2 linked regions of the Kluyveromyces lactis genome follow. The protein of the gene in region 1 purifies or fractionates together with the protein of each later gene. This does not show direct contact. Links are inferred from orthologs where the notes say so. Each region holds a gene or a part of one and is shown in the gene's direction. Other genes may lie near its edges. The genes, in order: PDP3 and NTO1.

Region 1 (3,022 bases):
TTCTACCGCCAAGTACAACATCATCGACACTGATCCAGTGGACGAATTCTCCGAGGTTTTCCAAAAAATTAGATTGTCTCAGGGTACCACCGACGAAGAGTCCAAATGCAACGGTAAAAAGAACGGTAAAGTTGCACCAAAGAAACCTGCAAAAAAATCTGAACTTAGAAACCCTAAAGTGAGATCATCAAGACCTTCGTTACCATCTGATGACGATGCTTACAACAGCAATGATGATGACGATGACGAATATGACGAACAAAACGAATTTTTCGCTGTAAGAAAATCGCTACGTAAGACCCACACAGCACCATCTCGTCGTGATATCACTCCAGAAGCAGTTAAAGCCAAGTCTAAACTGAACAAACCTCCTTCTTCTATCAGTTCTGTAGAAGAAATACCTGAAGCGATGGCAAAGAGGCAAGCTCTTTTGAGATCCTCAACGGAATCGGAAATTGAAAAGAAATCCTCTTCATCATTAAAGAGCCTACAAAAGCATGGCTCAAAGTTCCAAAAGCAACTGATTAAAACAATCAACAGTAGTCAGGCCTCTCTATCGGCATTGGCGTCGTCAACTGCATCATCTGCAAACTCATCATCTGACGCATTGAATGCGAAGACAAAGAAAATGCTAACAAAGGTACGTTCTAAGGGTCCAAAACGTAAGCTCCCAACAGACGTCACTAAATTGTAAATACCTCCTTATTCATATTAACTCGAACCACAAACTAGTTGCACAATCCGGCAAAAACGCATTCGTCAACTGCTAATGTGCGTTCATTGATCTTGTAAAGTTACCCTTCTAAATACGTATGCCTTTAATTCCTAATTACTTATTCCATTTTCCGACCTTAAAGCTTTTTTTTTATCCAAAACAAAACAATCAATTATTTCAAATTATATTCAATATATGCTTCTTGAGCAGTTGATATGGAATTTTGATTGCCGAAGTTCCCATTCATATTTCGTCCAAACAGTCTTTCACTGGTCAGAACACACGCAGCTATTACTGTGGTGTTGTGTGTGAGAAAAGTGATTACTGGTAGCTTAAGAGTTTTGTTTTCGTTTTCATCTCAGTTCATTTAGGGAAGGAGGTCAAGTTAATTCTGTTATACGGCCTCTTCTTTCCTTTGCTATTTGTGTTGCCAGTGCGAAGTTAGAGCGTAAGATTTTAAAGCTTCTATTCTAGCGTTTAGCATTCTTTCTGTCGAAACCGTTATTTGTGTTTACCTATTGAGTGCTCAAGAAACTGAGAAAGAGAGATATCAGAGTTTACTATTTGATCTTTACGCCCTGACATTTAGGGTTTTAGTTTCCTTTCCATTATACTTACAGATTTTACCAATCCGAATACACAATCTATTTAAGCAAAATATGACAGACGGGCTTTTAGTTACTGGTGACCTGGTTCTTTGCACCGTGGGCAGTTACGAACCATGGCCAGCTGTAGTTGTTCCTCAACGGATATTGAGTAAGAGTGTGCTGAAGGCGAAGGAGAACGTTGGTCAAGTTGCTGTGGCATTTTTTAACGATTCTACCTATTATTGGACTAAACCAAAACAGTTAAAACTTCTTACTGAGGAAAATATAGAAGCGTGGATAAAATCGCCGCCCAAAAGGTCTTCGAAAGAGTTGAAGAAAGCTTACCAGTTTGCATCCGACTATACGAGTTTGCAAGAGTTTGTCGAAGACAGGTTGACAGCGGAGGGAAGAGCGGATGATTTGGAAACTATCGCTGAAGTTAAGATGGGAGAGGACCCATTACTTTCCAATATTGAGTTAAAACTGGAAGACACTAAATCTACGGATAAAAGACGGGGCAGAAGAAGAAATGAAAGCGAATCAGAGGATTCTACCTCCAATAATAACAGTAACGGAAGTACCAAAGCTAAAAAGTCGCCCAGTAGTGGAAACAAAAATAGAGACTCACCGGTATCTACACCTGTCGCAACATCTGTTTCAGATTTCAAGAAGAAGAGGGAAAGCTCATCAGAATCTCTCTCGACATCTCCTTCATTCGTACCAGAAGAACCTCCCAAGAAACGCAGTAAGCTTGACTACTCACGTAGGGTAGAGATTGCTCAAATATTCCGTAACAAATTACAGAAGTGTTTGGTTCAACGAGATACCCCACCAACAGATGCAGATCTTGCCGAGTCTGATAAACTCATGAGGAAAATCCTATCACATACTAAATCAACACCGGAATTCTTTGATTTAGAAGCCCTTAGGGTATCCAAATTGCATAAACTATTAAAAGTCATTTCTAGTATGCCTGAATTATCACAGTTTCACGAATCTTGTAACACTATATTGGAAGTGTGGGCACCTCATGTTCAAAAGATCAAAAAGGAAAAACTGAAACTGAAGGGTTCGCTATCCCCATAGAGTGGATCACAACTGTCACTTTTAATATCTTCGATTCATAATAAGAGCACAAAAGAACCGTTCAAAAGGAAAGCACAAACAATGCATTACTGCTTTATAACAAATTCAATTCAATTCTGACATTATTCTCATGTAAAATCTATCACATTAACCTACATAATCTCATCCCTACCACCTCTCCAGTTACCTCACCGTACCTATTCCTTCTTTTCTTGGACCCTTCAATCATAATGTATCATTATTTACGTTTATCGCTCTGTTCCCCATCAATTGTTATTATTAACAAAATTGCCAAAACCTTTAAAATGACTTTAAGGTAGCAAAATTGTGCACTTCATTACAAACATCAGACATCTTTCCCATAAGCTAGCACATTAGGGAACCGATATTTTAATTATATTTCCTGTAAATTTTTATTGTTTATCAAATACGCCAAGTATTACTTCAATAACTTTCAAGTTGTTATGTCCACTACCGTTGATTTGCCAGAGCATTTAGTATCTTTGCTTAAAACATCCAAATATGTTCATTTAGCCACAGCTTCTAAAGACTGCATTCCTAATGTTTCATTGATGAACTACACATATGTGCTTCCTCATAAAGCCTTTCATGAAGAAGGCTCCAATAGTCATTA
Region 2 (4,370 bases), on another chromosome or scaffold:
TCTCCTTCTGCCAGTTATCGTGGTGCTTCGCAACTCTCATCGTCATTGAGAAGTAACAGGGGTTCGCAACAGTTTCCAACAAGTAGCAGTTTGACTTCCACGCCTAAAGACATGAACTCATCGGCTTTGACTCAAGATGAGAAAATACGTAGGAGAAGAGAATTTCATAATGCCGTCGAAAGGCGTAGAAGAGAGCTGATCAAAGCTAAAATAAAGGAGTTGGGGACATTGGTTCCACCAACATTGTTACATTTCGATGATTTTGGAAAGAAGGTAAAACCAAATAAAGGAACTATATTGAAAAGAACAATTGAATATATGGATTGCTTAAAGCAAGTTTTAGAGATTCAAGATGCAAAAAAGGAAGAACTAAGGAAGAAGATCGCTGAACTCGAAAGAAAAAAGTCGGATCTCACAAATTCTTCTCTGTTGCAATCAGGAGCATACCCGAAAACTTCTCAAAATTACCAACATATTTCCAAATCTGAATCCCCCATTACTCATCATATCTCCTCAGAACAATACCAACAGCAGCGACACCAACAACAACAACAACAACAACAACAACAACAACAACAACAACAACAACAACAACAACAACAACAAGCTCACATCAACAATGAATATATTAACGATGATGAGCAATATCCAGAAAGGATTATTGACAGTAGAACATATCCGATGCTTGTCAAGGAGACAAACGCGGGAGCAAACGCGATACATGATGATCTTCAACAATTTTTGTCTGGTACATTAATGGAGAACGAAGACAACAGCAAATTAATGTTCAGCGGACGTGCCGAAAATCCTGTTGATTTATTACTTGATTTCGAAGAGTAGGGGATGATCTTCCTTGGGTTTTTTCGAATCTAATTACAAGAATATACAAATGTATACCACTTAAAGTAGTTAATATACATATATATATATATATATATATATATATGTTCCTTAGTTCTACAATGCGCTATGTAACGATAATGTGTTTTTATAATATGCAAATTCATGCTTCTTATTAATTGTTGCTTGGCACATCACTTTTAATCACAAAATGTCATAAAACCGTTACAAATGAAAGAAAAAGCAGTAATATAAAAGGATAACTAGACGCCTTGATCAACTTTTCAAAGATGCTAACCCTAATATTGTTCAATGAGTGTCGATCATATCTACGGACGCTTGCAGAGTCAGTTCTTAAGTCAAATTAACATTCAATCATATCACGTGATATATACTCCGAAAACCATAACAAAGAAAAAAGATAAATGAATCGGCCTATATGTTGAAAACGATCCAATTAGATGTGATGACATGCCTCTTTTCACCGAAGAAGCTCATTTTGGATACGATAGGCTGTAATATAGTTGGGATAAACTAATGCAAACTCAAGAGGACGGCGTTAGGCTTCGAGAAGAAGTTAGTTTTAAGCATTTCTATCCGGATTTAGACGTAAATGACCTTGTCCTTTTTGGGAAAAATAATCATGATGAGTTGAATGATCGTCATCGCCACGATGAAGAAGAAGTGTATCCTGACGATAATTTGCGAGAACATTTGAAGTCATGGAAACAATTGATCGTAAACGATAGCATAACAATCGAAATGCTAGGACCTCAAATCAAGAACGCAGAGTTCAAGCGCTGTAAGATTCGGATATCACAGCTAAATCCTCATGGCAAGGTTAATAAACAGTTGGTAAAATACGGATACAGATCTCATGCAGATCGTACTTGCGGATTAGATCAAAAGTCATACTGTAAGAAGACTGATCTATTGATGAAGCATAGCAATGAGTTTTTTGCTGATGTTTCGCCATACCAGGTTAATTTTAAGGTAGAGTATGATATGGATGAGCAAGATGACTTATTCCTTCGGCACTTAAATACGGCACTGACAAATTCTAAGCATAAGTTATCACACGAAGTTTTCGAAATAGTTATTACGATATTAGAGAACGAAGCTTTCCATTTAGAGAAGAAAATTCCACCAAGAGTATCACCTAGTGCTACTAATAATACGCATGAATCTCATGCTGCCTGGAAGCATCATGAGTTATACGGATCAGACGACGGTACTGGATACCCAATGGATCAACCGTGTGCAGTATGTGGAGGCATAGAATGTGATAATTCGAATGCGATAGTATTTTGCGATGGTTGCGATATCGCCGTACATCAGGAATGCTATGGTGTAGTTTTCATTCCAGAAGGTCAGTGGCTTTGCCGAAGATGCATGATATCCAAAAATAGAAAGCTCGAGTGTCTCTTTTGTCCCAGTACCACTGGAGCTTTCAAACAAACGGATAACGGATCGTGGGGCCATGTGTTATGTGGAATTTGGATACCAGAGCTTTATTTCGGAAATCTACACTATATGGAGCCGATTGGAGGAATAGAGAATATCCCGAAAAGTCGATGGAAGCTCACATGTTATATTTGCAAACAAGAGGTCGGTGCTTGCATCCAATGCTCGAATAAGAACTGTTTTGCAGCGTATCACACTACGTGCGCTAAAAGAGCTGGATTATACATGAACTTCAATGGATGTACAGTTCAAGAGGCTGCCTCAAAAAACTTTTCCACAGGTGCTTTCCTGGAAAGTTTTTGTCACAAACATTCTCCTAACGGCTGGAGTAGCTGTGAAGACGGAATTCGTAAAACTAGGGATTATTTTAATCACATTAATCATCACAAGGTGCTACAAGACAGTGCCGTGGAAGAAAACAAGCAATCTGCCAAGAAAACCATTAAGAATAAATGGAAAACCAGTAGGGGAACTTTAATTGCACCTCAAGCCTTCGCAGATATTACAATGAGAGTTTTAAACAGATTTCATGTTCCAAATTCCGAGCAAATTTCGTTGGATATATGCAAGTACTGGACAATGAAAAGAGAACTCAAAAGAGGCGCTCCTTTGGTAAGAAAGTTCAGCCCATCTTCTTTGAATACTCTAGATACCGAAGAGCTAAATGACAGAATCGTATTCTCAGAAGTTCTTTTGAGAGACCTCAATTCATTGGAAGGTCTTGCATCATCTTTGGTGGCTAAACAAGAATGTAATGTTGAAAGGGTAAGAAACCAAAGGATCATAAACGACATTGCGTTCCATCCGATAAGGTATATATTGAAGGATGTTGTGTGGAACAATCTCACAAAGACTTTATCTTTTAAATCTTTTGCAGACCTCGAATCATCTTCAAATTTCAAGGTCATACCTTACATTAGCTCCAGGCTTGAAAATGATGAATACTTATCTGTCCAAGAATTCAAGGATGAATTTGTTGGAAATATAGTGAAAATAACATCCAATGAGAGGTCACCGAGATCACTGGTAATAATGGGATCTAAGCTCATCAACGATCTTAACAAACTTTTATCTAAGATTGATGAGTTAGATGTACATACTTTATTACATGACGATTTCGATATAGATGAGAGAACACATCAAGTAGAAGAGGTTAATTGGAAGGGCCGGAAAATACTTGCACGCGAAGGACTAGCTGATGTTGAAGATTTATCGATCAAACAGGAAAGACAATTGAAAGGACTACTACGTGACTGAATTATCCATCAAGTTTTCGTTCACTCAGTACTTAACTCTCCTGTTCCTATGTACATATATCCGGGTAATAAAACTATATACGGTAAATTATTTCAAGATAACTTCAGAATGAGTGATAAGATGCATCAAATAATATTACGGTATTCAATGTAGTAAAGCATCTGTCGAGGCCAATCCACCAGTATTACTTCATGGGCTTGATTAAACGCGTTCCTTGTTGGCCAAATGTGGAAGGGTTGGATTTTTTGTCTGTTAATCCTACAAGAGATGAAGTTTCTCATTACCGAGTGAAGCTGGATGTGGAGACAGACGAGTCCATCGTTAAGGTGAATACAGTAAAGGACTTTGGAAATATAACATGTCTAGATTACTCTAATACAGATGAAGGTATAGTAGGTGTCGGTGAGAAAAGCGGTGTTGTACGGTTATTTAATATTTTGGATACGGACGATGCATACGAGCCGTTCGATCTACGAGTACGAGCAAAGCACCAGCGAACTATCAACAGTTTGAGTATAAATACAAATGGCCTAATAGCCATGGGTTTAGATCGCAATAAGCATGATGCCTCTGTACAGGTGTGGGATGTAAACTACCAAAGCACGGAATCAAATGTTATCACACCATCTTTTTCATATTGTTTGAACGAAAGTATCGTGTCATTGAAATTTGTCGACGATACCAGCATCTTAGCTGCAAGTTCAAAACTCTTGAAAGAAATTGACCTTAGAGCTCCTAATCCTATATACCAGCATCCAACTCGTGTCTCATATGACATCAAGATAAATCCTTTTAACCCTTGGCAATTC

What was found.
Region 2: the proteins of PDP3 (region 1) and NTO1 purify together in Saccharomyces cerevisiae (affinity purification with mass spectrometry; 3 studies listed by BioGRID, with this or other methods). This does not show direct contact. The link is inferred for Kluyveromyces lactis from reciprocal best matches to the Saccharomyces cerevisiae genes PDP3 and NTO1.

The regions. Positions count from the first base shown.
Region 1 is NC_006038.1:945,741-948,762, forward strand, and holds PDP3 (Pdp3p), read left to right. Parts: upstream 1-1,374; coding exon 1,375-2,388; downstream 2,389-3,022. Other genes in the region: BSP1 (Bsp1p), read left to right, coding at 1-694; KLLA0_B10824g (pyridoxal 5'-phosphate synthase), read left to right, coding at 2,853-3,022. UniProt on the Saccharomyces cerevisiae protein: Histone-binding component of the NuA3b histone acetyltransferase complex. Targets the NuA3b HAT complex via histone H3K36me3 to the coding regions of actively transcribed genes to coordinate transcription elongation.
Region 2 is NC_006041.1:584,215-588,584, reverse strand, and holds NTO1 (Nto1p), read left to right. Parts: upstream 1-1,377; coding exon 1,378-3,561; downstream 3,562-4,370. Other genes in the region: RTG3 (Rtg3p), read left to right, coding at 1-840; SEA4 (Sea4p), read left to right, coding at 3,753-4,370.